3 linked regions of the Alligator mississippiensis genome follow. The protein of the gene in region 3 purifies or fractionates together with the protein of the main gene of each other region. This does not show direct contact. Links are inferred from orthologs where the notes say so. Each region holds a gene or a part of one and is shown on either strand. Other genes may lie near its edges. The genes, in order: RPP30, RPP25L and NEPRO.

The links.
Region 1: the proteins of NEPRO (region 3) and RPP30 purify together in Homo sapiens (affinity purification with mass spectrometry; 3 studies listed by BioGRID and IntAct, counting the BioPlex papers as one, with this or other methods). This does not show direct contact. The link is inferred for Alligator mississippiensis from reciprocal best matches to the Homo sapiens genes RMP64 and RPP30.
Region 2: the proteins of NEPRO (region 3) and RPP25L purify together in Homo sapiens (affinity purification with mass spectrometry; 3 studies listed by BioGRID and IntAct, with this or other methods). This does not show direct contact. The link is inferred for Alligator mississippiensis from reciprocal best matches to the Homo sapiens genes RMP64 and RPP25L.

Annotation. Positions count from the first base shown.
Region 1 is NC_081829.1:68,289,873-68,300,033, reverse strand, and holds the start of RPP30 (ribonuclease P protein subunit p30), read right to left. Parts: upstream 5,011-10,161; 5' UTR 4,977-5,010; coding exon 4,895-4,976; intron 3,151-4,894; coding exon 3,095-3,150; intron 2,738-3,094; coding exon 2,681-2,737; intron 978-2,680; coding exon 903-977; intron 18-902; coding exon 1-17. UniProt on the Homo sapiens protein: Component of ribonuclease P, a ribonucleoprotein complex that generates mature tRNA molecules by cleaving their 5'-ends. Also a component of the MRP ribonuclease complex, which cleaves pre-rRNA sequences.
Region 2 is NC_081826.1:299,906,333-299,916,693, reverse strand, and holds the start of RPP25L (ribonuclease P protein subunit p25-like protein), read left to right. Parts: upstream 1-5,462; 5' UTR 5,463-5,552; intron 5,553-8,029; 5' UTR 8,030-8,040; coding exon 8,041-8,598; 3' UTR 8,599-10,361. UniProt on the Homo sapiens protein: May be a component of ribonuclease P or MRP.
Region 3 is NC_081824.1:247,526,183-247,536,854, forward strand, and holds the start of NEPRO (nucleolus and neural progenitor protein), read right to left. Parts: upstream 4,448-10,672; 5' UTR 4,429-4,447; coding exon 4,329-4,428; intron 3,207-4,328; coding exon 3,052-3,206; intron 1,836-3,051; coding exon 1,759-1,835; intron 1,670-1,758; coding exon 1,538-1,669; intron 1,181-1,537; coding exon 1,103-1,180; intron 1-1,102. Other genes in the region: protein spire homolog 1, read left to right, coding at 6,258-6,498, 10,031-10,062. UniProt on the Homo sapiens protein: May play a role in cortex development as part of the Notch signaling pathway. Downstream of Notch may repress the expression of proneural genes and inhibit neuronal differentiation thereby maintaining neural progenitors.

The sequences.
Region 1 (10,161 bases), on a different chromosome or scaffold from region 3:
TTTGAAGATGTTGCTCTCTAACAAAAAAAGGAAGAAATAATGGCTTAAATTATGACAGGTAGTGGAGACATGCACTGGCATAACTTCAAAAATAACAAATAGGTAATAAAAGAAAAAAAATCCCCAACTATGAGATAAAGTATTAATAGGAATAACTTGTTTTAACTGCTGCTGTTAACAAAGTAAACTTAGATTCATGAAAGCTTGCTTTCATATACATCTTATTTAGCTATTCTGTAAAGGTGGGTCTCTATCCTGCCTTCCAAGCATTTTACTGCCGTTATTCTGGATGTCATCCCATTCACAAGTACAGTGGTAGGGCAGGTTTGCCTCGCAAGTCATCGGTATCTCCTTATATTACTGTTACTATACTTTGTAAGTCTTCTTCCCACCCAAGATAAGAACACCTAGCAAACCTCCCCCAATTCAACATGGCATTTTTCAACAGCAAAAGGAGAGGCTTTGAAATTTAAGCTGAACAAAGTTAAGCAAAATCAGTCTTACTGGTATTATGCCAAAACTGAACTAAAGAGCAGGAGTGATTATTTCATGTTTAAACACTTCTTCACCCACTCTACCAGAAGGATTTGCAACAGCATTCTAGCATCTGCTACAGGCTGAGAACTCAAAAGTAAGAGCCTGGGAATAGAATCAAATCATCTTGGCAGCAGCCTATGCCCTTAGTAAAAAATCGCCAGTGCACAGCATATTCTGGTTTACTAAAGTGGTATCGTTAGAGAGCAATGTAATCATAAGATGTCAATCTCAGAAAAATTTAGTGCAATGTTTTCCATGAAAAACATAAAGTTTCTGTAAAATATCAAAAGTTACATTATTTCATTGTGAAAATAAATAAATAGGTTGCAAACTATAAAATTATATAGAGAGTTTTTAATACTTACCAACACATTGCAGTGAGAAGGATCAGAAACTACAAGCGTTAGTCGGGTTACAATTTTAATTGGTTTCAATTTTCCCTGTAAGCAAAATATGTCTAAGTGACTATTGAAAAGGGACACAACAAAGATGTAGCCGATTGATTTTTCATTCCCATTACTGTAAACAGAATGGTACTTTGTTCATTTCTTGCCTATACTCATTTATTTCTCATTTGTAACTAAACCAACATATTTTTACCTTTCTAATTTTAATATTTTGTTTCCATACTCTGTGGTGCTCTTAGAAATTGATGACTTCTTACATTCCTTTGAACTTTATTTCTGTTTTAAACATCACACAGCAGAATAACTGAGCATATTCTGGTACCCAGGTAGGACTGTGCAAAATTTCGGCAGCCGTTTCGTTTCGGAGGTGTTTTGGGCCATTTCAGTGCCCAAAACACCAAATCTGAATCGAAACGGAAGGCTCCAAAATGAACCGGATGGCTCCAATTCCTTTTGGAACGTTTCGGAGTCGGGCTTGCAGGGAAACAAAAACTAAGAAGAGGGAGGGGAAAGAGGTGGGGAAATGACTGCTCTGATATTGATATCTAGCTCCCAATTCAATTCCCCAGCTCTCCGATCGTTTCCCTAGCTATTCTCAGCAGGCACGGGCTCTCGATCTGTGCGTGAGGTTTCAGCAGACTGCCACTGAAGGCTGGGGCAAGCGGCAGCCACTTGGCACACTCTGCGCCAAGCGTCAGGAAAACTGTGGTGTTGCCATTGGCCCCAGCCTTCAGAGGCAGCCTGCTGAAACCCAGCGTGCGGATCTGGGGGCCCACGACCCCCGGGAAGAGCTGGGGGAATGATCAGAGAGCTGGGAATCAAACCGGGGGCTGGGGAATCGCTGCCCCATGACCTGACTCTGCAGGGAGCAGAGATCCACACTGGGGTCTCCTTGCCACCGCTACCCACCCCGCACAGCCCCATGTTGCCGGGGCAGCGCAGATTGAGCAGCAGCAGCAAGGAGACCCCCAGAGCGGATCTCTGTTCCCTGTGGAGCTGAGTCGCGCAGCAGGGACCAGCAGGCTTGCTCGCCGCTCTGCGCTGCTTCCCTGCCCCGTGACCTGGCGTGAGAGGTATCAGATCCGTGCAGGGGTCTCCTCATCTGCTCAGAGGGTAGTGGCCCTCCCCTGTATGAGCCGCCCATGGTCCTGTCCTGCTCTCCACTGGGGCCCCAAGCCCTGCCCGGCTGGGTAGGGCTGTGCGAAGCTTCCCTTGCACAGATTCAGCTGAAACAAAACAGGACTGTGAGCCGAAACACTGAAACGAATCACTGTCCTCCGAAATGGTATCAAAATGCAGCCATTTTGTACAGCCCTATATCCTGTTGCCACAGGTCAGAATGATCACTGTACTACAGATAAGAGTTGTTTTTGTTTTTTTAATTAAAGTACTCTATGGATTTAAAAGAATGTTTGATAATTTAACTTGGGAAATCATCCCTAAAACTCAAGCTCTTAAAATGTCAACTATAGAAACGTTTAACTAGAAGTAGCTTCCAAGTTCAGCCTGAGCACAATGTTTGTTCCCATATCATATAAACTGTATGATGAAGAACATATTAGAATGTACTGTACGTTAGACTGTATTGGTTTTCTGTTGCTGCAGAGTTATTTTAGTAAATCAGACAATCAATCTCTCCAACTCAGGCCTGATATGAGAACTGTATACACAAACACACTAGAATACAAATATATTCCATAGACCATTATACGCAGATGGCATTTAAACTGACATACCGGTATTATAGGCAAAGACGGAAGCAGTTCTGAAGGAGAGATTGGTTTAGGAATTTCCTGAAAATGAAAAGCAAAACAAAAGTAAGTGTTTAAAAACTTAATGGGCCAACTTCTCAATATAAATAAAAGCTGCATACATTTTTCTAAACAGGAACCTGCCCTTCAAACAAATGAAACTAGAACTTTATGGACAGCTCATGCAGTGTACTGAATTTATGGGAAGTAAAATTTAAGTCCAAGCAAAAGGACTAGTAGAAAGATGGAGTTCTAAACTGGACCTTTGTAATGAATAAAAAGTTTTGTATATACATGTAGATGAGTACTCTAAAAGAGGAGACAATTTGAGGACAAGTAATTATGAAGTATGTTAAGTGGAAAAATAAAAAAAGAATAAATACCAAAACAAACTTTTACCTGTTTCTTTTCTTTAAAATCAATGACATGGTTAATTGCAACAGTTGAGTATCCCACTAGAAAATATAAACACATTATAAAATCTGAATCAAATTGCAAAATATTAACAATTTAATAGAAAGAAATCAAAGTAGAAACATTTTAAGATTCACATACATTTAGCATTTTGATTGTACAAGGATGATTGGGACATATTCTCATTTCTGGAAACAAAAATTAAAAAAAAAAAAAAATTACAGGGCATGAACACCCCATGTCAGCCAGTGAGGCAAGTGCTACTGCAATAACATGACCTACCCCATTTTCTCGTTACCTAGCTTAGTGGTTCTCAACCTTTTCGATACCAGGACACATTTGTAAACATCAATGGCCAGTCCCGACCCAGTGTCCCTCGCTCCCAACCTGCTGCCCCCAGGACCCAGCCCTCCCAGTGTGTGGGGCAGGGGGGTGGGTGTGAGGGGCATAGGGGGGACCTCACAGGCTGGAACTCTGCCAGCCTGCAAGGGAAAATTGTCATAGTTTTCCCACATTTTTCTCCTTTAAAGAAGAATCCATTTTTCAAGTTTGATGGCGACCTTTTCATCTCTTCTTGTGACCCACTTTTGGGTCACAACTCACGGGCTGAGAAATGCTGACCTAGCTGTTTTGGGCACATCATAGAGTACCACGTTAGTGGCAACTACATGATGCTTTTTCAGCCTGTAGTACATATGGAGTGGGAGAGGCGTAGTCTCATGGCAGCACTCTACTACGTCCAATGCAGCGCTAACATGTCCACGATGCCTCAAAATGAAACATTCTACTTGCTGCCAAATACAAGTAGAACTAAAGCTTAAGCTCAGGCCTCTAAGACTCATTCAGAAACCAAACCTGGAAAACGCATAGTCCCATATAAGTCAGATCACTCAAACTTTCTGGAATCCTTGCATAAGAACAAACGCCTGTGAGATTCTCATATATGGGACTCAAACAAAACAACTTTTGAGACTTTCTCCCCCCATGAATACAAGTGATGTAGCTGGGGACACGATGCCACTCAAACCACCCAACTGTGCCTATAATGACCTGGGTGGCCCTGCACTTAGACAGAATCCTCCTTGCTTCCCATAACTTCCATTTCCGTGTACTGGCTTCTCCCAAATGCAGAAGTTCATTTAAAAATTAAAATAAAAGTAAACCCTAGTCAAGACTGAGGACTGCTCTGGGGCAAGCAGAGGGCTTCAGAGCAGGTCTCACCTCCCATCTGCTTCCAGCAGAAACGTGGAGTGGCTTTTGCTGTCCCCCTGCTACTGCTTTTAAGGACACATATTGGACACCCTGCACAAGCCTCGGTCCTGCTCCGTTTCCTGCCTCGCCTGCAATTGCCTGGCCCTTCTGAATACAACAGCCACGTATGTATCTGCCACGCTACCTGCCAGCACTGCAAAGCCCAATGCTCAGCCAGAAAGGACCTCAGTGCTCCAGGCCCATCCTAGCAAATTCATAAAATCATAGAAAATGAGGCTGGCGGGGACCTCAGAGGTCCCATCTAGTCCAACTCCCTGCTCAAAACAGGCCCATCCCCAACTAGATCATCCCCCCCCCCGGGACTGGCCTGGCTCAGCCCTTCTGGGGGCAGCAGCAGGGCCCCGCCCCGCGCGGCACAGCCCGATCCGAGCGGGGACACTGAAAGGCGCCGCCTGGAGCCCTGGTGGCCGCGGACGCCCTGTCTACACCACGGCCGCGCTCTTACGGGCGGGGGGGAGGGGTCTGCCCCGGGCGAGCAGGAGGCGGAGCCCCCAGGGCCGGGCCGCTACTCACGCCGCGCCGCCGCCTCCAGCACGGCCCGCAGCGCCTTCCTGTCCGCCAGCGCCAGCAAGTTGAGCTCCGCGAACCCCGCCATGCCGCGAGGCCGGCCACACCGCGCATGCGCCCTGGAGCCCCGAGGCATGCTGGGATTTGTAGTTTCTGGTCTCTGGGGAGGGGGGCGGGGACTTGCGCGCTGCCTGGACTCGCCCTTCGCCCCGGGGGCCTGGGGCGGCCGCTGGACGTGCTGACGTCACGAGTCGGGGCCCACCCCTGTTCCGTGCTGGGGCCGGGGTCCTGGGCGGAGCTTCGTGCTCGGGGCCGGTGCAGCGACCACGGTCTGTCTGCAAGGCCGTGCCATGAGCTTGGCCGAGAGCGCTTCTAATCAGAACAGGGCTGCCTGCACAGGGGCGATGTGGTGTAGCTGCAGTAGTGCTCCCAGCGCATCATAGAAAATAAAATGTGGGTCGGAAGGGACCTCAGGAGGTCACTTCTAGTCCAACCCCAAAGCAGCACCATCCACAGCTAGATCATCCCAGCCAGGGCTTTGTCTAGCCGGGTCTTACAAACCTCCAAGGATGGAGAGTCCACAACCTCTCTAGTAACTCATTCCAGTGCTTCATCACCCTCCTTGTGAGAGCTTTTCCCTATATCTCACTGAAACTTCCCTTGCTGAAGCTTGAGACTGTTGTTCCTTGTTATGTCGTCTGTCACCACTGAGAACAGTCCAGCTCCGTTCTCTATAACCACACTTCAGGTAGTTGAAGGCTGCTATTAAATCCCCTCTCAGTCTCCTCTTTTGTAGACTAAATAACCCCAGTTCCCTCAGCCTGTCCTCAGAAGCCACGTGCCCCCGTCCCCAAACTATTTGCATTGCTCTCCGCTAGACATTGACATCATTGGATCAGAACTGTGTTGGCAATGGCAGGGAATGGCTGTAAAACGTCTCATGAAGGTAACACGTAGGGAGACCACCTTTTCAAAAGGAGAAGGCAGGACACATGCCTACCTTCCTCCTCCTCTGCCCCCCACTGCTGCAGGACCAGAGCCAAGCAGAGCAGAACAGAGTGGGGGGTGGATGTGGGCTGCCCACTGTGGGCTCGGGACTCCCCACCCTGCTGCCTTTCCCTCGGGAGCCCCGTGCCAGCCACATGCCCATTGCCTGCCTGGCAACAGCAAGGGGCACAACTCCACACTGCCGCCATCCCTGCTGCTGCCAGGCAGACAGAAGGCACTTGTCATGGTGGTGCAGCCAGCGGGAGCCCCCAGAGGCAGGACAGCAGGGCAGGGAGCCACAAGCACATAGCAGGCAGTCCACATTCATCCTTGCCCCACGCACAAATCTGGGGAGCACATGCCCTACCACCTTGCCCCTGGAAGAGCTGCCCACAGCTCCATCCTGTTCCCCACCCTGGCACTATGCATTGCCATGACTGGGCAGTGCCCCGAGCCCCTGCCCCACTCCCTCCCTCACCATGGGGACCTCAGTCTGCCTACCCCCCCCCCCGCATCCCTTCCCACACATAAACTTACCTGCTGGGAGCTGCTCTCCAGGCTGCCTGGCTGTGTTCCTGGCCACATGCAGGTGTGCACATGCACATGACATGGCACCCCTGCATCCCACTCCTGGCAGCCTCTTACAGGTGGAATGCTGCCAGCCTGCAAGGGGAAACCTGCCATTTCCTGTGGATCCCTGCATGAGACTTAACAACCAGGAAAAATGATGTCCTGGAGTCATGCAGCCTGGGACCCAGACTTGAGGTTCCCATTGTGGGACTGTCCACCCAATTAAGGATGGATGGATGATCACCCTAGCAACACAGCACCTAGGAGCTGCCCTGTAGGAATCAGGCTCCATGTGTCTTGAAGCCAACTACATTGAAGTTATGATTACTTTGTACTGTATTAAATCATACTCTGTACGTAGGAGGCAAGTGCAGTAATGCAAAGGAGCCACATATGGAGATGAGGATTCCTTTCTCTATATTTGTGAGTTTGAGATTCTGCCTTCTAAATGATACAAAGAGAGAAGAAAATTTCAAGGGCAATCTGAGAGGTGAATCCCAAGACTTTCTGGAATCCCCTTTATGATGAGATGATTCTTAGCTCTCTTAAATTTGTACATAAATGCCTTAGGTGCTAATAGGAGGGTGGAATTCTTTCACAGGCAAAACTGATATAGAATCAGTGGCTGAGGTATTTGGTTGCTGGAGAGAACAACATTATATCCACTAGATGGAGTAGCAATATCATATTATTATCTTATATTACTCCATTGAAATATTACTAGATTGTTTGAGACAGCAACTCAGCATCGACAGTGACAAGAAGAGAGAGGATATTAGATTTAAGGCTCATTTGCTGACATGTTTTAGCCAAAATAACATCTCATAGTTTTTCCATACTCAGTCAAGGCAAAAAGGATATTTTTTAAAACTGAAAGGGATTTTTTCCCCCAACACATCTGGGGGTTATAGTGAAACCCAGACCGACTATGAGTCAACAATATGATGCTGTTGCAAAAACTACAAATCTCATTCTGGGATGTAGAGACAAGAGAGTTGTACATAAGACACAGGAGACAATTATTCCACTCAACTTTTCTTTTTCTCAGGGTCTGCTATGATGACAATGACTTACAGAAGAAGTGGAAAATGGCAAGGATTCCCTTTGTCTTCCTTTAGGAGAGCATGCCAAGACCTAGGGCTAGGGGATAGAGAGATCTTTCTTCCCTGCTACCTCAAGTTTATAGCCAGGTTTAAGATAGAAGGAAGCCCTTGTGGTATCTAGGTGCAAAGTTCAGTAATGAGTTCAGCAGGAGTCAAAGGCTGAACAGTTTCTTAACCTAATGTAGACAGGTTTCTTGAGGTGCTCACCAGCTCTTTGAAGAATGCCTTCTTCCAATAAGGCCTCTTAATTGAGTATTTTCCAAACTTTTCCCCTTCATGACTCCACATACATTCAGATAATTTCATTCAACACAATTACCACTGTTAGTGGACCCCTCTTCAGCTGGTCCATGATAACTATCCCTTGTGCCCACTATTATATTACCATGACAGCTAAGTCAGACAGGTTACTCCTGAATGAAATGGAAATACATTGACTCAGCTTCTCTCTCATTTACTGTGAGAGGAGTGGACATACAAATAGCTTTCCTGAACAATTGCGGTATTTCCATCTCCTGTTAATTCCTGCCTTCTCTTAATTGTGGTCACATAGGGTAGTTGTGGGTTTGTGGGGAACTAGGAGCCCTGTGCAGATTGTAACTCCACTTAGGGTCATTATTCCTAGACTGGGAAATGGTTTTAAGTTTTTCCTTGGTTCAGGTTAAGCCAGCTGTCCTTCTTTCAGACTCCAATCTCCTTTTTACTAAAATAAAAATCTGTTTACACTGGATGAAAAATAAACAATTGTGAACTGCTGAAACATTTCTGGGTTTTGCAGAGTGTGTCAGTTTACAGCATTCTGCATATTAGATGAGAGCAACAATGACAGGTCTTCGGGAGGGGAAGAACCTGCTCAATACACTTGTCTCAGAGCACAACGAATAGCCAGCTTATGGCTATAACATGTGCTGAATCAACAGTGGTTTGTCCACAATTGTATCAAAACTACTGACAGATCAGGAAGTATCAACAGAGGAATTTAACTTCAATGTATTGCCATAAGATGCCTGCCCATCAGTTCAGCCACTCGTTCAGATCTTGAGCTTTTCAGGAATTTCCCTTGGTATAGTTGAACACAGAAGAGCTGTAGGCTATTTCAGGTTTTCTTGGGTCAAGATTTACAGCTGAATTTGGTTCAGTTTCTCTTCATGAATTTATTAAGAACTTAAAAATATTTATTCATTATGTTTGCACAGTGTAATGCAGTAATGCTCAGAGACTGCAGTCAGGAACAGGCCTCTAATGAACTAGATACTGTACAATGCAGAATAAGGGACAGTATTTGACTTGAGCCACTTATACTGCAAAGCCTTGATCAGCTAAACTGGTGCTCATGAGTACAACCCAGACCAAAATAGAATCCCCATTGGTGTTAATGGGATCCTGCACTGGTATACTTGTCCACAAAAATGGAACAGCTTGCATAATTAGAGATGTAGACTATGATGGGAGAACCATGGCCTTTCATGGAGCCTCATTTCCTGGGCTATTTATTTACTCCCCCTCCCCTCAACATTCACTTTTGACTGGGGAGAGCCCAGTGACCTACTTGAAACCTGTGTGTGTGTGTTTCAGTACTGTTAGACACAGACCTCTAACGTGTCTTGCTTCTACCCTTGCAGTCCCTAAGCCCCTCCTGTGGAACCCACATATCCCCTCAGCTAGTTACTCTTCTGGTCCCGAATACTGAACAGTTAGGTCCCAGGCTCCGTTTTCTCCATGAAGAGCCATTGGGTGCTCACATCCAACCACTGTCTGCCAACAACTCTACTTTCAAAGGCCAGCTCTTGGAAGCTACTGAGAGATTTGTCTATCACAGCGCCACATTTATCCCTTTCATGGAACATATCTGATCAGGCACTACTATCTTAGTAATTCTATAACAGAAATTTCCTAATTACTTTCACCAACATTGTTCTTTTTTTCTTTTTATGCTGCAGGATGAATTTTGAGTGGTGGCAAAATCAGTTTGAGTGACAGCAGGTTTACCACCTTCACTGTTTGTCTTACTTTCAGATGAGAGTTGTAGGTTACCTGCTTTTGTCAGTATTTGTTGGCATAGAAAAAGGGAAAACGTAATTTCACATTTATTTAAGTTGCATAGATACTGGCAATTATTCTGACAATGAAACAAAATGCTAAAGAAATGAATGTTTACTGTTCTGTTTACTGCCATAAAGTGGTGATGATTTATTTTCACAAAGCCAAGAAAAGACAGTAAAGAAAATTGCAGCTGCAACATCTATGCTGCAAGTCAAACAAGAGTGTTATTTACTAAACATTACACACTGGGAATAGAAATCAAGGTTTGAATAATATTTAGCCTCAGAAACTTACTTGGGATGTGATAAAATATGTTAAATATTTTGACAATATGTTCTTCACAGGCAGGAGAGACATTTACCTACATCTTATTTATTATTCCCAGTATGTTACCGCCCAGAGTAGCAGTAACTTACTAGACTTTTATCAGCATCCAAGGAAAGGAAATGCTGATTGTCAAAAGAAGAAAAAGTAGAAAAAACAGAGTGAAAAAAGTAAACAGAGTGGATCAGATATGGAAGGAAACTAAAAAATGGAAGCAAGGAAAAAACAAGCCAACTTTTCCATTAG
Region 2 (10,361 bases), on a different chromosome or scaffold from region 3:
TTCTTGTTCAGTAGGAACACGCTGCAGGTAGGCGCCCAGTGGCTGCGGCCAGCTCCGTCCTCCCCTGCTCCCTCCTGTGAAGCCAAGTGTCTGGTGCCTCTAAAAATCCAACCGTCTGCGCTTTTTATTTGCACTTCTCCAAGTGGTTTTGACTCTTGATTTGTAACTTATTTAAGCTCCTGCCCTGCTTGGCCCCATATTCGGGCTGGCGGACCTGACTATAACAACCTCTCAGCTATTGCTGATCCCTGGACCTTAATAAAACCCGAAGACACTAATGGCACTGGGTCTCGTTCAGTGTTTCCTGCCATCAGTTGCAGCTGGGGCTGTGCCTGTGGGCCAGCAGCATGCAAGTGCTTGGACTTGTATATACCTGTGGGTCCCCAAACTCTGAAAGCCACCTTCCTGGCACAGCCTGGAGGTCAGCAGAGCTAGGCTGGCTGTGAGCTTCCTCCCAACAGTGCTAAGAGGTGTGATTTGATGCTGGGAGCAAGAGTAGTTAGCAGTCAGCCTGCCCTAGCTAGCTCCCTGGCACAGTGAGGAGGAGGAGTGTTAGCTGAGCTGCTCTGATTGGCTGAAGTGTGTGCCTTTTTGGGACTGCAGCCAATTGCCGTGCTTTGTCAGTGGAGGGGCCTGTGCTCTGACACCCTGTAGCAGCAGGATTATGACCCGACCCCCCCAGCATATCTAATAAAGCGGGTACTTCTGACACTGCTTTACTGCTGTTTCACGCTGTGGGTTTCTAGCTCCTAGTCGAGGCAGTGCTGCTTCCCTTCCCTGCTTTGTGGTTTGAAGCAAGGAGGAAGGGGACTCTGCCAGCTGACTGGTGCTACCAGCTGTCCTTCAGACAAGAGGCTTTGAGAAGAGGAAAGGAGCACAGCCAGCTGGTGCGGGGCCTACCACAGGCTCACAGGCCTCGTACTCTTCAGGCCCTCGGAGCTTTTCCTTTGGGGGTAGGAGAGCTGGAGGCTTTCCAAGAAATGCACTGAGAAGATTGTCTGGCAGCCAAAACAAGGAGCAGAAAGGGGTCAGGAGTAGGGCTGTACGAAATTTCATCACCAGTTTTGTTTCGACCTGTTTCGAGGTCAAAACAGCAAAACTGAAACGAAACAGATATGGCCGAAACAAAACGAGATGCGTCAAAACGTTTCAACGCTGTTTCAACGTTTCGCCCGTGGGCTATAATGGGGAAGGTCAAAACAGCCTATAACTTTGTCATTTCTGGCCAGATTTGGATAAAACTTGCAGAAATGGTAGCCCCTTCTGAGGGCATAAAGCGTGGCAAGTTTCAGGAAGATAGGTGGAGGGGGTTTGGAGAAACTGCACCCCAAAATCCTGAAAGCGAAACTCATGTCGTGTATGTGTTGATCCGCAGTAGGGTCAAACCTGCAGGCATGCTAGCCCCTGCTGAGGCCACAAAGCCTGCTAAGTTTCAAGGAGATAAGTACAGGGGTTTGAGGGAAACTGCACCTCAAGCTGTGGACAAGCAGAACTCATGACATGGGTGACCCTGTGTGTGCTAAGGCACAGCAGGGTGGAAGCTGCAGGGACGGTAGCCCCTGCTGCGGCCATGATGCCTGCCAGCTGTCTAGATCGGTGCAGGGGTTCTGGGGCCCCTGCACCCCTAGCTGCTGACAGGCAAATCTCATGACATGGGTGCTTGTGCAACCGCTGCCTCTCATCAGGCAGGAGGACCAAAGATCCCCCATCACTTGCCACCACAGACCTGGGGTTAATAATTGACCACAGTATGAACATGAGCCAGCAGTGCGATGCTGTAGGCAGCAGGGCCAACAATACACTGGCATGCATCAATTGATGCATCTTCAGCAAAACCATTGCAAAGAAGTGATTCTCATGCTCTGCTCGGCTCTTCTCAGCACTGGTGAGACCTCAGCTGGAGTGCTGTGTCCAGTTCTGGGCTCTGCACCTTAGCAAGGACGTGGTAAAGCTTGAGAGAGTCCAGAGGAGGGCTACCCATATGATCAGAGACTTTCATGGTAAGCCATACAAGGAAAGGCTGAGGGACCTAGGACTCTTCAGCCTGAAGAAGAGAAGGCTGAGAGGGGACCTGGTAGCAGCTTACCACTACACTAGGGGAGTACATCTAGGGCTCAGTGAACAAGTGTTCACCAGGGCACGTACATCTAGGGCTCGGTGAACTGTTCACCAGGGCATCCTTGGTGAAAACCAGGAGTAACGGTTACAGTGTGGACACCCTAGTTGTGAAGTCGTTTTTCCTAACATTGAGCCTGAAACAATCTTCCAGGAGTTTGGGACCATTCCTATCCTACGGGTGAAACATTGAAACGGCAAAACGTTTTGACGGAACAAAATGGAACAGCTGTTTCGACTCGAAACACAAGTCGAAACAAAATGCTGTTCTGTCGAAACAACGCTTCTGTTTCGCACAGCCCTAGTCAGGAGCTCTGGCTTCTGATACCGGCCTCACCAAACCTCTTCCTGCCTCTGCACCTCTCAGGAGGCATGGAGGTATGTGTCCTCTTGTTGGAGCCATGGCTGCTGCAGTGCCCAGCAGCCCTCCCTGAAAGTTGCTGCTGGACAGTGCTAGCACCTGCGGCAGCTCTGCCTCCCATCTCTGAGAGAACTTGCAGCACGTCCTGCAGGCAGGCAGCCTGGACCCTTCACACCTGGCAGCAGAAGCAGGTTCTGCAGCCAGGGCCCAGCGTGGAGCTCCTGCTGTTTGGATGTGGTGAGTTCCCCCTGACAGGGACAGCAGCAGCTCGAGGGGCTCTGAGCCGCATAGGGCCCTGCAGGTCAGACTAACAGCTTAGGATCCACCTGGAAATTGGGTGGCATCCAGTGCAGCTCATGGAGTGGGAGCATCACGTGCCACTTGCAGAGCTACAGCCCACCTACCTGCCCTCAGGTCCACGGGCTGACCCTGGGTGGGGGTCAGAACTCTCCATCCTGCTGATGTGCTGAAGGGAAGGAAATGGGCTTCGCGCAGCTTTCCCGCTGCTCCTGCCAGCATCGCCATGCCCTCGTGTGCCCCCAGCTCCAGCCAGCTTGCTCCCTAGGCACCGAGCCAGGCATCCCACAGCAATGGTCGGATCCGAGGAGGCAGCAGCAGCTGCAAACCTCCCCCACCAGTAGTACTGGCCTCGAGTCCTCCGCTGGGCGTGTGGGATGTTTGTTTCTGGCTTTTCAGCTATTCAAGAAAAGAACCATGGCTGCCTGTCTCCCCAGAGTTACAGCACAAACACACGCTTTTCCTTCTTTGTTCGTTACTTTTGTAACTTTCTCATCCCAAATTGTCCAATCCTTGGGTCCCATACCGTATCTTTTTAAATAAGGTACTCCAATCCTACTCGGTTTTTGGTTTCGTTTTCTTTTAGGGAAACTTGTACCTGGTTTCGCTGACTGTACCAATCGCAGCACTCACTGTTTCCAGTGCCTTATATAAGGCACTTTGTACAATTGCATTGCTTAGTTCTGGGAGGGCCTCGACCGTGGCTAATAGCCATAGCATAACTCAGTTTGCCTGCTACGCTGCTGTGCTGCCGTCTGAGCCTGGTGTGATGACCAAAGCAGGTGCTCTGCAGCTTTAGCTTTAGCTACAAGTTCTGCTCTAGGCTCTAGTGGAAGGCTGCCCCAGCTGCCCTGGTTTGGTATGTGGGCATCTGGGTTGAGGACCAGCAGCAACAGTCCTACTGGCTAGGACCAGTTGGCCTTAGGCTGGCCTCATGGGCTACCAAGGCCTGGTCAACATGTGACTCAGCCCAGCTTTAGGGAATCCACTTGTCCCTGCAGACTGGAATATGCTGGTCCCAACAGAGTTAAATGTGTCAGGACTTAACGAGTGGCAGCAGAGAGACCGGATCTTTGTGCGGTCAGGGGGCCTGCCCGTAGCTGTCTCTGCTTCTAGCATGCCGACGGGCTGGAGGGGGCTGGTGTGGGGTTGTGTCATGTCTGGTGAGATCCCCCTCCTTGGTGCGTGCAGGGAGCGTGTTTTCCCTGGCGTGTGCAGCACCCTGCTCGGGGGCTGGGAGGCATGTCGGGGGGGGCCCAGGCTGCTGTTACCCCACAGCCATGCAGAGCTGCCTGCAGCTGGAGCGATTCCAGGGGGCTGGGCCGTGGGCACACACGAGCTCCTCTGCAAGGGCAGCATCAAACCGCTGCACAGTCAGCCCCAGGAGCCGGCTCTACACTGATCCTCCCAGCTCAGATCTGGTGCCTGTCACCTGGACGCCTCTTCCTATTGGACTGGCTCCTCTGTGGGCTTGAAGTCTCTTCTCCCTGGTAGCCAGGCCCTGGGTGGGGCACAGACCCCAGGGCCTGGCCCTTTTCCCCTCCAGCCTGCACTTGCAGAGCCTGTGAACTGAGCGGCAGCACTTCCAACGCACGGTGCCTCCAGCCGGCCCCACGACCACCCACGAGAGGGAGCTGCAGGCCTGGCAGAGAACAGACGTCCCCTCGTGCACCCGTGCGAGGCAGTCCCCAGCTGATGGTGCTGCTGCAGCGGGGCTCTGGAAGAGCCTGTGCCCGGCTGTAAGGGCCCTGCTTGGCCTCGAAGAGCCCTCGCATTTCTGTCGCTGCAGGAAAGCTACCGCTGGAATCTGTTTCTGCGGTGCCAGCGCTGCGGAAATGCCCGAGACACGGCCCCGGGGGAGCAGAGCGGAGATGGGAACGGCTTATTCCAGCATTGGCAGCGCAGGTCAGGCTAACAGCCTGGGACCCAGCTGGAAACCAGGTGGCATCCAGCGCAGCTCACGGAAGAGGAGCATCCCCTGCCACTTGCAGAGACACCTGCCGCAGCCGCCGGCCCTCGGCGGGAGCTGTGGGGCAAAGAGGAGGGAGAGCCGGGCACCCGCGTGGGGGCATCCTCCTTGCAGGTAAAGCCTTTGCTGCCCCTGCGCCCGGAGTCGCCCATGGTTCGTCAGGATGAAGGCCGGGGGCTGTTGCTGAGTTGGTTGAGTGCTAGAGCCGCGGGGCTGCAGGAGGCCTGCAGAGCAGGGGTCACGTCCAGCCCAGCCCGGGCCACCCCCCTGGCTGACTAGTCACCCTGACAGCCCCGGGCGTCGCACCCGAGCCCACCACGGGCAGCAGGGGCCGCGGCAGCCAACGTCCCGCTGCAAAGGGGGCCAGAGGTGCTCAGTGGACCCAGGCAGGACTGTGCCCCTGCTGCAGAGGGAGGCAAAAGCCCCCCATTTCGGACCAGTGTGAGCAGAGGGAAATCCCTGCCTGCCCCAGTGCAGCAGCAGAGGGCCTGGTGGGGGCACGGGACCGCCTGGCCCCTTCCCCGCGCCGGGCGGCCCATGGCAGGCGCACGACCTGCGCCATCCTCAGCCCCCGCTGTGCGCGCGGGGGACGCCCGCTAGGGGGAGCCGCTGCTCCGCGCCGGAGGCGCCGCTTGCGTCACAGGAGTAGGGGCGGGGGCGGGTCGCTCTTCGCGCATGCGCCCTCGCGGCCCGCCTTCGCGCACGCGCATGCTGTTCGGCGGGCTCGCCACGGGCCGAGTGCGCATGCGTGTTCGCCCCTCACCGGAAGTGGTCGCCGTGTTGCGGCGGGGAGGCCTGGCGGCGGCAGTGGTGAGAGCGGGCTCTGAGCACGCTTCCCGGGGCCCCGCGGCTGTCTCCGCGGCTGTCACCCGGGGGGGGGGCGGGTACGGGCGGCGCCATTGCCCCGCCGGGGGGTGGTGGCGGGAGGTTCCATTCATGCCCCGGGCCCCGCGGATGTCCTGCGGGGGTCCGGGAGGTTCCACTCATTCCCGGGGCGGTTCCATTGATCCGGGGGGGGGGGGGGGGTCGAGCGGTTCCACTGTTCGTTGGGGGGGGTCCCTCGGACGGTTCCATTAATCCGGGAGGGGGGTGGGGCTCGAGCGGTTCCATTGATTCATGGGGGCTCTTCAGGCGGTCCCATGGATCCGTGGGGGGGGGGGGATCTTGGGCGGTTCCATTGTTCAGGGGGTCCCTCCGGCCGTTCCATTGATGGGGGGGTCCTCGGGCGGTTCCATCGGTCGGGGCCCCTGGCGCTGGTGACTCCCGCCCCAGGCGCCTGCTCCCTGGCCAGTGCATGGCCGTGCTCTGCTGTGGGGGTTGCCCCCTCCCCCCTTCCTGCTACGTGGGAGGGGGTTAAGCCCCTGTGGGAGGCTTGCTGGCTGCAGTCGGGGCCGGGCTGTGCCCATGCTCCTGCGGGGCCCTGGCTGGAGGGTCTCGCCCCACGCTGCGCTGGGCTCGGGATCAATCCCCCCGTGCTCCGACTGCGTGTGATAGCGGCGGGACGCGCGGTGCCGGGTCCCCTGCTTTACGCGTGGCGGGTTCGGCCGTCCGGTTTAGCTGGCGGGTTTGCGCGGGGCCGAGCCTGCCTCGGGCGGGGGTTGGACTGGACCTGACATCTGCTCCCTTCCCCCCCCCCCCCCCCCCCCCCCCCCCCGCTGCTTTAGGATTTCTATAAATTGCGATAATATTTTTCCATAATGGGGGGAAAAAGTGAATGGGAGCGGAGATCTGGCATCTTCCAGGGGGGCCTTGAGTCTCTCTCGAGTCTGCGGAGGCTGAGAACCGCTGATCTGTAATTGGCAGGGTCCTAGGGAAGCTGAGCTGAGAGGCACCTCATGGGGTCCCATCAAGTCCGGCCCCTGCTAACCCCCCCCGGCACAGGTCTGTGCACCCTGCTCTTGAACACGTCGGAGGATGGGGAGCTCACAGCATCTGTTAGTCTGTCCCAGGGCCTGACCCCCCCGAGTCTGCAAGTTCCTCCTCGTCTCCAGCCTCAGTTTCCCCAGCAGCCGCTTGAGCCCGTTGCTCCTAGCCCTGCCCCCACGGAGAAGAGCCCACCTCCATCCTCCCTGTCATCGCCTTTCAGGGATTTGCAAACTGATCAAACCCCCCTCCAGCCTTCTCTTCTCCAGGCTAAATGCCCCCAGCTCTTTCAGCCTGTCCTCGCCAGCCTCGCCGCCCAGGCCCCGTCGTTTCTGTCACTCTCCCTGGACTCCGTCCAAACTGTCCCCGTCCTCCTCCAAGTGCGGAGCCCTAGGCTGGACACGGGGCCCCAAGGGAGGCCTCCCCGGTGCTGAACGGAGCAGAAGAATCGCCGGCCTTGATTTGCATGTTTGTACAGCTCAGGAGACAGCTTATTTTGCAGCGAGAGCGCACTGTTGGCTCCTATTCAGCTTATGGCCCACTCATTCCCAGGTCCCTCTCTGCAGCGCTGCAGCCCGGCCCCTCGCTCCCCCGTCTGTATTTGTGCGCGCCGGTTTTCCATCCCAAGTGCAGGACTTGGCACTTGTCCTTGCTGAATCTCGTCCGTTTGATTTCAGACCATTTCTCCAGCTGTTGGACGTATGCGTAAGGCTCGGGAGGTTTACAGTCCAAACAAAATAGGCTACAATGGGCAAATAAACCTAGCAGCGCTGGTTCTCTTCAGCTTCTGGCTCTCCTGTTGCATCTCCCACGGGCGACTGCTTGGGCTAAATGCAGGAGAATGATTGGCTCCAAATGTATCTGCAGCGCGTTATCTAATACCTCAGCATGTTTTAATTAAAGCATGTCTATTACTGCTTTGCATGACCATCTTCTCTCAGAATCCCTGGCCCTGAGCTTTGACAGCATCCAATTAAGTTATGACTGTAATTAAATTCTCCAGTCTGATTAGTTAAACACCTGTACAGCAGATTTTAAAAAGGGAGTTATGTGAAGCGGAGGCATTTGGGATGTCTGGGATTACTCTTCGCTTGCATGCCATATGGTTGTAAGTGCTGGAAACTGTCTGATGGCTCTCGGGCGAATGGCTGAAAGGCAGGGACTGTTTTCCTTCGTTTGTAGAGCATGTGGTAGCACTTTAGGCAACACAATATAAATACCTGATTTATGGATTAAAGCACCGTTGCCATTCCTGACTTCGGGTAGGTATTTCAACCATGTCCAGAGTCGGAGCATGTTGTGCTAAGCAGTGATTCCCCGCAGGCTGCTTGGCACGAGGCTAGGAACGAACAGACGAATCCCTCTAAGACAGCCTCATGAATCATGATTAAGAGATAATCACCAATTTGTGCTTTCCTTTGCAGTGTTGGAAGCAATGGAGAACTATAAAAAGAGCAAGATTGTGGAGAAGCCCTGTCCTCTGCCTTTCTCCAACCTGCCCTCAGACATTATCGAGATGAAGGTGAAGGACGGCAGCAAGATCAGAAACCTGATGGGCTATGCCATCGGCAAGATGGAGGCGGACGCTGTCAGGCAGATCCTTTTCACTGGCTCGGGCAAAGCTGTCGGCAAGACCATCACCTGCGTGGAAATCATGAAGCGGAGGCTCAAGGAACTCCACCAGGTCACCAAAGTGCTCTTCAGACAGATTGAAGAGATTTGGGAGCCCATCGTGCCCGAGGCGGGCCTCGACACCTTGACAGTGAAGAGGAACATCCCTGCCATATGCATCTTGCTGAGCAAAGATGCGCTCGATCCCCAAGAGCCTGGTTATCAGGCTCCAGGCTCTTTCGAGGCCTTCTGGATTGAGACGCTCGCGGCAGAATCCCAGGGCCAAATGAAGAGGAAGCAGGGGGCGGGCAGGGGGACCGGCAGCACAGGAAAGCACCCCAGATCTGTTGGCGAGCGTGGGGAGTCCTGCAAAAAGCCCTGAAGCAAAGACGTTCACAGAAGCAACCGACGGGATGAGAAAACACACTGGCTCCTCGAACACTAACACTCAGCACGTGATGCCAAGGTCATTGATGCAACAGGGCTGGAACGTAGGTCAGCTGAGGGAGGGAAGGAAATGGGGTGTGAAAAGCAATCCGGTCAAGCTGTTGTGAATACAGACTCCTCTCAAAGCTAGTCTGACATTCGCTTGGAAGATTTAGGATGCAGTGCCCAGTACTAGTGCACCCTCCGTCCTTGCTGGAGGTGGATGGTGGCAGGTGCTGTGTGTTTGCACTCCGAGCTGTGATTTAGGTGGTATTTTCAGCTGCCCCCAGTCAGCGATTGCAGTGCAGTTTTATCGGGTGGGACCAACCAGCAGCCTTTGCAGCTGTGAGGTCCCTCTTCAGGGTGTGTTGTGTTCATCCTTTGGAGACAGGCAAGTGCTCTGAACGGAGGACTGGGGTCTCTCTCGGTTCTGCCAGCGATGCCCTGTGACCTTGGACTGCTCCCCTCTCCTCCGTGACTCGGTTTCCTCATCTGTGCAATGGGGATGTTTACGTGCGTTTCGCGGGGAGTCGAGGGCTGGTTCGTGCAGAGGTTATCTCAGTATTACACTGCTTTTTGTAACTGCTAATGGCAAACTCCAAAGCCAAAAGCTGGTTTCCTTTACTGCTGTTTTACCTTCACTATTGAACAAAAAGTTGCCTCTTTATTTAACATTAAAAAAATCTTTAGTTGGTTTTTCTTTCCACTGGAGACTTAATAACGTTTGGAGGTTGGGACTAGGGACACTGGACTGAAGCCTAAGCACTGAGCTGTTCCTGAGATGAATGTGAGAGTTTTTCTTTTCGTCAAGAAACTTCTCAGTGGGGCCCAGAGCACGCGCGTTTCAGTCTCCTTCCCCAGCATTTCACCTCAAACACCGAAAGGTTTTCTGACCTGTTTTGTCCGGAGTGAGGACAGCCCAGCTTTGTGTGCAGCGAAGCGGGGGTTTTTTGTTCATTTAGATTTATTTAAGGTGTTCTTGCAGCAGTTCTGAAGGCAGGCAGGACTGTTTCGGGACCCGCCAAAAGCACCTTCTTCCCAGGAAAACTGCCAGGGCAACTGGACAAACACATAAATCAGTACTGGGAAGACGTGAACTGCATGAGATCCCTTTGTGAGGACGTGAAGGTTTTCCAGGCCCCGTAGCAGCCATTGTGTTCCTCTGTTAGCCCCCTCCCAGCTTGCCTGAGGCGTCATGATAGCAACACTTTTTATCGCTGCAGCTCAACGGTACAGAAAGTGAAGATTTATGCAATAATCAGTCCCTTCTGTGGGGTGGCTCTCACCTCTCCTAACACAAGCGCTCCATTCAGGTATCAACAGCCCGGCTCCATTACCACGAAATAATAAGTCAATTGTATTGTGGGGCGGACGTACAAAGGCGGGTGGAACAACATCGCGCCTGTCTTGAAATGCGTGACCTGGAGATGCCCCACTGACGTGGATCCCCTTTGCTTCCAGCTTGAGTGGCTTTACTAAGAGCCGGGGCAGTCAGAAACCAGATACCCTTCAACTCAGATTCCTGGTCTAGGGACAGCACGAGTAATCCTGAGACCCGTCTCCATCCCACACTTCATCCAGCATTGACTCTTCACGTTTACTTGCGCGAGAAGCTGCCAAGCGTGTGTTGGCACGTGAGAAACTTGGGAGACTGGGAAGCTGCTTACGCAGCTCTGTGGGGGTTGGTTTCGTTCCGTTTTCAGACACGTTTCAATAAAC
Region 3 (10,672 bases):
AGCTAAACAAATAATGCACTTACCTAGGAGGCATAAGTGGAGTCCACAGTATTCACTAAACAAGCACTCTCACATTTGGTACCTGCTCCTTGTTCTCAAAGGTTTCCCCTCCCATGTTTTTCCCCCCAACACACATGCATTTCTGGGCTCTGGTTTTATGCTCTCAGGCCACCTGTCCTTTGCTGCACCCCACATTTGTACTTCCTGACTAGTAGCCTGACCTCCCTTTTCAATGCTAGTTCTTCACTTGATGGAGGTGTCTGAGAGCTTCAGAAGATGCAGGATATAGACTGGGACTGATTCAACCCTGTGAACACACCATCCACAGCCTGCATTACAGAGACTTCTTCCCCCATATAATGCACCTCATGGATCTTCACAAGCTTTAGGAATGAGCAAACTCCCAGGTGACATCAAGCCAAGGCTCTTTAATTAAAATTCTTCCCCACAAACCATTTCTCCTCCAATTCAGTACAAGTGGGCCTGTTCATCTGCCTTTTTAACATTATATACACTTTTCTGTTCAATGCCACCTGAAGAAAAGCTATCCTGTTCTGAACAGAGTGGTTAGCATACACATTGATGCCATATCACACGAGTAACTCTATATTTTAATTAACAATGCTAGCATTTTCAGCCTATGTTTGAATCTTTTTGTCATTTCTTCGTAAAATGATTCACTGGAAGAATCAGGGCTAGTAAGGAACAGCTCCATTCTACCAACTATATTCTCCACACAAGACAGTTAAAAATCACTTACTGGAAAAACCCAGCAGTTGAACATCATGGTGGTATTATAAGTGCCATAGAAATCTTTTCATCATCAAGTATGAACCCTTCCCCCATCTACACTAGCACCTATTCCTGAGAATCCCGTAAAAGCCTGTCCGATTTCAGGTAGGGTGAGCCATTCAAGTCAGGGGAGGGAAGAAGCCTTGATTCATTAGCTCAACACCTGCCATTTCTTGGTGACAACAGGCACCGAGGCCTGTGTCATACTATGTACTGATTAAAGTAACTAGGGCAAAGCAGGCAGATGATGAACAAAAAAAAAAAAAATTAAAAAAAGTAAAAATATATATCTTTTCAAATGTATACAAACCATAATCTGCTCAACAATCCTGAGACCACAGTATTCAAGAGTATGAATTCTTCCAAACATAGGTGTTTAATGGTCAAGCTGAAAATAAAGCTTGTTAAGGTGAGAAAAAAAACCAATAAAAACAGTGTGCAGTGTAATTCACTGAGCAGAGACTTTCCTACAAGGCAGTTCAGAAACCCATCTATGCCTGGCAATTACTCAGGAAAGGACTGTTCAAACTCGGGGTTACTTAGAGCTATAACAGCAGTTCGCCAGCAGCCCAAAGTCCGTACCTGCTGATCTGAAAACAATTGCCTGTAACCAAAGGCTTTTTAACTAAACAACATTTGTCCGTTTATCAAATGCTATCAGCAATGAGAAGCCTGCAGCAGATCATATTTGGCTTTCTGGTAAGAATTTTCACTTCCAGGCTCCCAGGTTTGTTAAGAAGGATACAGGAATGCTTTGCAACAACAGTCCAGTAGACGCAGCAACAACTTACAGCCTCCCAAGACCTTCACTGCTACTACTTCCATCACAGGCTGGCTGGGAACTAGATGCTCTCCAGGATTTTCAGATTTATTTTTCCTGTAGTGAGGGGGTGGTGGTTACACTTAGCATGAAGTTCTTCATGGCTAAAAGTAGCATTCAGTCTAACAGGAGGTAATGACACTTACTTGGAACACAGTTCTGCCAGGTCTTGAACGTATCCCACTAAGTTCATCCTATTCAAACGCTTCAAGCTTTGTTCTACCTAAAAAACCAACAAGTCTTTTGGTCAATACTTTTTTGTTTCTCAATCAATAGGTCTTTATTAGTCAGTATTGTCCATTGTTGATGTGTAGGCCTGCCACACCTGGTGCCAAACCCATTGGCGCACACAAATATCTACACAAGGGCAAGGAGGATCTCTAGATGACATTATTGTGAACGTGGACTTTATAGGACTCAGGCAAAGACTATCAACTGATCCTACACATTCCAGGCAGCATCTTGCAATTGTGGCTACTTAAATTAAGTTTGCAAAACAAGCTTCAGGAGAAACCAATCATAAGAATCAGAACAGAAAATCTAGATTCCAACCTCTGTTTTGTTAGTGCAACAGGCAGCGTATTTCATACCCATACCACAAAATGTTATTAAACATTCCATGTTCTGTTACATTTGAAAGTTGCTTTGAGACCACCTTTGAAAAACATTCAAGTTAGTAGAAACAGTGTTTAAGGCAACCTTTGAATTATTCCCCCTTCTCTCAACAGAAATACAAGTTCTGTCCTATCTAATGTTTTATATTGAACTTCTTGAAAGTTGCGAATAAAATGAACTACAGTAAAAGTTATGTTATCTGACATCTTACAAGCTGGCATGCTCCACTAACTGGTATGTCGGCTTGTAAGATAAAGTGAAACCAGAAGTGCTCACCGTGGCACTTCTGGTTTCTCTGAGCCCCCATTGCTCAGGGCAAAGCAGCCTGTGCTGCCAAGCCCCCACAGCCCGTGGGCATAACAGGCTGTGCAGGACTCGCCACCCTGTCCCGCGGGGCCCGCCATGGGAGGGGCGGAGGGGACACCCCAGACACGGCGCGAGAAGCGGTGGCCGGGGCTGCTCAATTAACCGGCATATTTTGTTATCCAGCATCCTCCGTTCCCAAGGGATGCTGGATAACAGAACTTTTACTGTATTTATTTAGGTTTTTAACTTAAGCAGAAAGTGTCTTGTATTGTTCCCATTGAAATGGAGTGGTAAAATCTCTCACCAGCAGCCAAATTCTCTATCTAGGATCAATAAAACCTAATTGAATGAGATTCATTTAGAATAAAATGGATGTGAACAATGTTATGAAACTTTACCAAAACCCAGATCTCAATTTTTTTCTTCAGAACATGGTTGTAAGAAAAAATTATTAGAAAGCTCATTCCATCAACTATTACTGCAAAATAATATGAATCGGTATGATTTTCCCTGCTGACCTGTTTCAGAGCCAGGTAGGTTTTATGGTGAGACATTTTGCTGTGGCAGACATAAAGGATCGCATGCAGGACTCTTCCTTCAGCATCCACAGCTTTGTTGTTCAGCCATGTGAGAGTGGCAGAGCACTCTTTACTAACTGCTGGAAGGCATCTCACTGCAGGGGTGGAGGGAGTAAGGGTGAGAGGGAGAGAAAAGAGGAGTGGGGGGGAGGAGACACATTACTGTTTTGCAGTTCCACATGAAATAAATGGTTTAAGACAGCACAATCATGTAACAGTCCACACCCCAAAATCAAATGACCAAAGAAACGCATCCCCTAAAGTAAAGCCTGCAACCCCAATCTGCCATCTCCCCTCACATGAAACAGCTTAAAATCCAGAAGGAATTTTTAAAAGCCATTTTCCGCTTCCTGCCTTTTGCTGCCTACACACCCCTTAGCTGGGAGACGGGAACCAGCGTGATGCAGCGGGACAGAGCAAGGAAGTAAGAGAGGAAGGGCAGCGGGTCTGGGCTCTGGATGCTCCAAAGGAGCAGCAATACAACAATAACCACAAAGGGGTGGGTGGGTTTGGGGAAAGAGGGGGCAACCGCTTATGGCTTTTCAATAAAAATTTGCAGTCTTTTTTTGGGGGGGGGGAGGGGGAAAATCTACATACTTACTCCTCCCACCCCACTAGCAGGAAATAAACATTAAAGATGTACATCATACACATCCTAATGTGCCTGTAGGGTTACCAACGTTCGAACAATTTATCCTGGGAGGTTTCCAGACCGCCAACATGCCCGTGCCACACGGCACGAACGTGCCCACGTGCTCACGTATCTGGTACATTTGACGGTGTGCAGACTTTATGTTAGGAAGGCAAATGCACATTACTGCTACATTATAGGAACCAGTGGCCTACTGTCTAAATTGGATTCAATGTTTCATATTTATTTTGATGAAGGCGATATATTTTATCTCCCTGGTGACTCCAAGCAGTCCCCTCCAGATTTAGATTGAATTCCTGGACTCCGGGGCACCCCTGGACGGTTAGCCACCCTATGTGTACCCTACAACACCCCCTACTGACTACCATGCACGCACACACGCGACACCACAGCCCCAGCACACGCTTTTCCAGTCCCAGGACGCAGAGGCGCGCGCGACGTCACGACCCCAGGACGCAGAGGCGCGCCTGTGACGTCACGAGTCCGGTGGCTAAGCCAGCTGAAACCGCGTGCCCCGAGCGCCCGCCTCTCGCCCGCGCCTACCCCACACAGCCCCCTTCGCTACCTGAGGGGTGCTGTTCCGGCAGAGCCACCGTAGCGCTAGTGGCAGGCCACGGCACATTTACCCGATTCCACACTGCCTCCCCCAGCTCCGGCCCCGCCATATTTGCTAAGGGCGGGGAAAGGGGCGGGGCGACGAGGCCAGAAGCATGAGTGGGCGGAACCAAAACAGAGCTGGGGGGGCGGGGGAGGAACCCTGCGGGCTGTACCAAGAATCTCGGGAACGGGGTGCGTGTGCAGGGCTTGCTATAGCCGGGCAGTGGGAGGTGCGAAGCCCCCGCGAGCCCAGTGTGGGCAAGGGCAGGGTCTGCGGTTGCCCCTCGGCCTGGGCCCCACCAAGGAAGGGTGCAGGGGCCCCAGACACATGAGCAGCTACTTCAAGGCAGCCCTAGCCTGGGGTAGATCAGCTGCTACATCCTGTGGCATTGCATGAGGTCCGCCAGGCTGTGCTGACCTGCCCTGCAGCCTTCGCTGTAAGGCAGCCGCCAGGAGCTCTGCTGTTCAGGGTGCCCCCTGCCCCAAGCACGCACCCCGCCAGCCAGGGAACCCGCCTCAGCCTTGCAGGTGGCATCAAATGAACCAGGCTCCCTCCTGGCCACCAAAGCAGGGCAGGTACTGGCCACCTCTAGTGGGAGGCCTGACAGTTCTTTGTACCTGGAGGTAGATGGGGCCAAGAGGTGGCAGCTCATGTTGCAGCCAGGGTGACTGGGGGCTTTTATTTCATCTGGAGAAACACAAGAAAAGCCAAAGCGAGTTCCTCTGAACGGTACCCCCGTTTCTGAGGTGATTAGCAATCAGGCAACGTTTCCAAAGCAGCCGTGTGCAGCAGAGAATACGCAGGCCGACTCACTGCTGCATGGCGAGGACACAGGCCCCTCAATCCGCTTGATGCAACTTACTGACTCCCAGCCCTGTGCCTGTGCGTGTGGACGAGTTTTATACAGTTTAGGTTTGGATTTCTGTTTTCGTGCCCATGTCTCTGAGAAATCAATCTCTTGGCCAGTTGAGTAGGCGGCAAGGAAACTGAGCCATGACTGGTGACCATTGTTCTTTCCAAGGGTCACTTTATTAGCATTGGGTGTGATCACTGGCCTGTGCACCTCAGTCCCCTTGAAGCTGTCCCTCACAATCCGCTTCTCTCATGCATATCATTGCAGATTTAGACTGAACTGCTTCTGGGATCAGAGTATCTGTGAGGAGGCAGGTAGTGGCTGACCCAACACAGCAAAAAGTGGTGAGGAGTATTCAGAACTCCCCAACGATTGTACAGAAGGCATCTGCTCCCAAGATGTTTTTCTCACACCTGAAGAGGGGTCTTGTGTGCCCAAAAACTTGTCTAGGATTTCTCCCAGCTATAGAATTGGTCCACTACAAGAGCACTACCAAACACATCTTGCTTCTTCTATGTTCCCTGGACCCTACAACAGCACTACAGGTCTGCTTCGCAGCACAGGCTGCTGTAAGCACATCACACTTGCACTCCACTCACTTTTCAGAGTCTTTCAGCAACATTTTTCCTGGTATCTTCCTCCCACTGGGTACCTGTATCAGAAATTGAATTATATCCTACATTGCCTCTTCTACTTTGGTAGTAGCTTGTATGCTCCCAGTTTAATCTGACTCACATTCTGTGTATAAACTTGATGAAGTCAGTGATGTTAATATCAGGCATGAGTTTTAACTTGGGCTTCTAATCTTCCTAGAACCCTTTTCCCACCCCTCTGCCTTTATTCATAAGTACAGATCAGATGGTGAAATTGAGGGTGTCCCTTTAAGGAGGTATTTGCCCTGAATGGTCACAGCTGAAGGAAAGAAAAGGGAGACTGCATAAAAGGTTGTTGGGAGAAGATGCTGCTTCCTGTAGAGTTGGTGAAAAACATCTCAAGTGGTAAACAAACAAGCAAGTGCATAGAAAATAAGTGATACATGTGAAATGGAGGACAGGAGATGTGATTGGAGTGTTACTAAGGTCTCTCTGGAAGAGCTCCTGAGATGTTATAAACAGCCTATAAGTGAGGAGCAAGCTTGGGCCATTTGCTTTCAGTGCTGCTGTAAAATGAAGCAGTTGGCTCAAGGGCTTCATCCATGGTCTCCTACTGTAGTTATAAAAGGCCCTGGAAGCATCCTCATCCATTCCAATGGCAATGTTTCCTTCTTGCTGTGCTCTAAATCTGGTAAGGGCAAGGATGATAATTGATGGGGCTCTTGTTTCTATTCTGCACTTAAAAAAAATAATCAGCTAGTAACATTTTATCCATCATAACCAAAAATATGTTGCTGCTTGGTTTTGGTTTTTGTTTGGGGTTTTTTGGGGGGTGGGGGAGGTTGGGGGTTTTTTTGTTTGTTTGTTTTGTCTTTGAACTGTTTTCCATAGTAAAACCCTTGATTTTTCTCTGCAAATAGCAGGCTGACTCTTGGAATTTCTTGGGTTGTCTCCAAACCCAGTGAATCTGCAACTAATGTGAAGGGCTCTATTTTCCCTACCCACTAGGGTGCCCATAGGGAAATGGGAAAGAAGGGGTATTAATTGGGGGGAATCTTGGCAGCAGTGTTTCTCAAAGGTTAGAGCGTTGGCTTTGGAGTCAGTTTCTCAGTTCTTTTGCTGCATCTGCTGTTTTTCCCTTGTCTGTAATAATGAGAATTTTTTTTTTTTTAGTGTGGTGGTGAATTATAATAATATTATTGCTCTCTGCAAAGTATTTCTGAAGTCTTTGGATAAAAAAATACTGTGGGATAGGGCCTAGTTCAAATTGTGATTTCACACTTTTTTGTGAAAATCACAAAATTAAGTGATTTCTTTTTTTCACGAAAAAATGTGACTTGCAATAAAAATGCCACAATATGCCTGTTTGCTGGGGAGTTCCCCAACAAGCAGCTATATTATGGCATTTTGTTGCAATGATGGCAAGAATTCCCCAGCCAGCAGCAAAAGCTTAGCAGCCTAGGGGAGGAGGGAAGGTGTCACAAAACAGGTTAAGTACACTGGAGCACGCCTCTCTGGCACATAGCCAGCATGGGATGGGTGTTCGCTTCCTCTTCCTGCTGCTCTTGAGGTCTCTGGGATTTGCAGTCCAGAATCACAGCAACAGGACTCTGCATGGTTGCTTGTTACTTTTTCTTCTTGCTTCTAGGTGCCTTTGGGACTTGTAGTCCACAGTCACAGCCAGCAGTAGGTTTTAGTAAGTTTAGCAGCAGGGCAACTGTTACAGGTTTAAACCAGTTTCTGGTTGCTTAAGCTGGTTTATGTGTAACTTCTGTCTCTAAAAGGGACAGGAAGGAGAGAACTTGGGGATGGCATTTGCTCTTCCAGGTGGCTTTTTTTTTTTTTTGTCCCGTGCCAGGGCCATATACTAAGGCAGCCCTTTGGCACCCCCAACCCCTTGCACCCCAGTTTTCCTGCCCGGAGGAACAAACAGACTCCCTTACCTGGTGCCAGGGCTGTCTTAATTACTGCCTCTTCCAGGGAAGTTGGGGTGGGGAGGAGGGAAGAGGGGCGTGGGCTTTTCAGCAGTGATCAGAGGATTTTGGAACTAGGCATCTCCTGCTGCAATTAAACCTGCCCCCTCTGCCAATCAAGAGGCATGGTGTGGGGGAGAAGTGGCTCAATCTGAGCATGAGTATGGTGGCCCCTGTCACGATTGGGCCATGATATTAGCGAGCTGGGCCCACAACTTAAACCAGGCCCTACCATAGAAGAAATCAACTTTTCTAATAGTAACACATTGAATCACTTTGTTAGAGGGGTGTTACCTAAACAAATGGCTTGTATAAGGGGTTTATGAAGAATGTCTCACTTCATCCTCAGATGAACATTCCCTTCCTCCTTGTCCTCCCACTCTGTCACTTGTGAGTCCTAATCTGAAGCTATGCAGGGGGATGAGGGGACACCATGGATGGCATAATTGTTCTGCGTTTTGCAGTCTCTTTACTTTCTAATGCTAGACTTCAGAAGTAATAATATATGCATAGGATTAGAATGGGTCTTTTAAGTCACTTAGTCCAGCCTCCTGTGCACACTGATGCATGGATGATGCCATTGCCACTGAAGGGAAAGGGACTAATGCTTGACAAAAATAACTAGTCACTTTCTGCATGTGTTTATTCTGCAATGTTTGGAGCAAGTTGATTTTCCTCATGCCTTTTCTGTGAAATCTCTATATGGGTTGTGGCTCCCCCACGCTAGGATGAAAGGTGGCCAAAAGACAAGTGTCCATTTTCCAAAGAGCAAGTCTTGATTGTGCGGGCCGGGCCCCGATCCCGCCGCCAAGTGCGAGTTGGGGGGGGCGATCCATGGCCCGTCTTTGCGCACGCGGGCTGTGGCCAGCAGCCCGGGCACGCGGGGTCGGAGAAAACCGGTGGCGAGCTAGAATTAGTCACGAACGCATAGTGGTTGATTTAAAAGATTATTTACTTACACCCAAGATGGTCGCAGTGTAGGCTGGACAGCTTTCCAGGTGCAGCTCCGCTTGAGTCCTCGTTGGAGGACTCTGACGAACTCGGTTCTTTGGCCCCGGAGTGGTTTAGGCTCCGTGGGTTCGGCAGTTCTTTCCTCACGAAGTTGCTGAAGCTCCGTGGGTTCGGTTCGGTTCCCAGGTCCCCCAGAGCTGTTAAGAGTGGGTTCGAAAATTGGGTATATAGGAAGGGATACGTCTAGGAATCTATCGGCGACAGGGAGAGGCTAGAGGCTGATCAGACCTCTGTTGCCTTCTTAAGAAATGCATTGGGTCCGTAAGGATCCGCAGCGCTTAGAGATCTTCACACAGGGTGAAGTCTCCTCCTCCTGATGTTCGTAGAGTCCTCCAACTTGGGCGGAAACCATTGAAGCTTTTTATATGGCTAGCAAGCCAATCACTTGCTGCCACGTGTACATAATTTAGAACTAGCCAATAATGGGGCTCAAAGTATAATACGAATGGCAGGGTTCTCCTCTGCAGCAGAAAACTCCAGCGCGCAAAGAAGCTGCAATTTTAGCGGGAATGTAATTTAGCGTTGCCGAAGCGCACACAAACAACAAATCACAGCTTTGGGTTGTGACATTGATATAGTCTGACTGAACTATACTTAGGCCTGTTGTATCTGTAGTCTGCATGGGAGCAGTGGGTGTTGAGAGAGAAAGAAAGGAAGCTCCTTTCTCTTATTTCTACTTGAGAAGCATCCAGAGGCAGAGAACATCAAAGGGAAACCATACCTTGCACTGTTTTCTAATGATCCTGGATTCTCATCCAATTCCCTTCCCTGCCCTTCCCCCCCCCCCCCCCCCCCCAAGAAAATGGAGGTTAAAACTGTCTGAGGACTTCTCCCAATGGCAAGAAACCAAACTTGCATGATATACTGGAAAGGGAAATTTGGGTCAGTGTCAAGGGCCCATGCAAGCCTAACAGTCCACTGGGCTGCTGTGGTTAAGGCACACCAGTTACTGTAGTCAGTGTCATATAAGGGCATGAAATGGCCAGCATGATATCTGGCCACTTCTGGCTTCTCAGCCTGAATGACCAGGTGCCCATTTACAGCTGAATCAACTGGGGCAGTCTGTGGCAGAAGACCAGAGCAGGGCTTGAACTTTCACCTCCAGCACTATAGCAAGACATGTTAATGGTTCTGCCACTCCACCAAGTAGGGTTAGTGAAGGCTTTATCTTATAACAAAAAAGAGCAAGCCGTTCACAATCCCTACAGACTTATGTTCTTTCACTTGTTTCCCTTTCAGATGTTCAAAAGACACAACAATCAGAGGACAAGGTAAGTCTCTCTTTGGAGTCAAGATGGTGTCAAGGACCTATGACTTCAACCTAGGAATGGCACAGTCATAATCCTTTCTGAGTAGATGTTCTAGGTACAAAAATCTAAGCTGCCTTGTCCTACAACAATGGGTCATGTTCAAAAGATTCAATTGTCATTTAATATTCTTGGTGCTTGAAGAGTGCCAGGGGCCTGAAGGAAGATGACTTTCGTCTCCATTCTTTGACCAGGGAAAGGCCCAAGGCCAAGTTCAGAAATGAAACTACTTGAGTGGTCCTGATGTACATGCTGCAAGGGAAAAGGGTGAGGTGCAGCTGGCAATACTGCCACCTATAGGGTTTATAAAGTGGGTGCATTTCTGCTGCCACAGCACACTTCCACAACTTCAGCACGCTGTAATCATAAGTGATTCTGGTCTAGTCTCTTATACCTTGTCACCCAGCTTGAGCAACAATGACAGGATTACCTTGTGACCACCTTATCCTTCTGTGAAGAAGACACATGACCTCCAAAGTGGGTAGAGTTGTTATTTGGGTTAGAAATCTGAAGGTATCATCTGGGAACTGTCTTTACAATACTGAACTACTACTACATTGATCTGAAAGGTCGC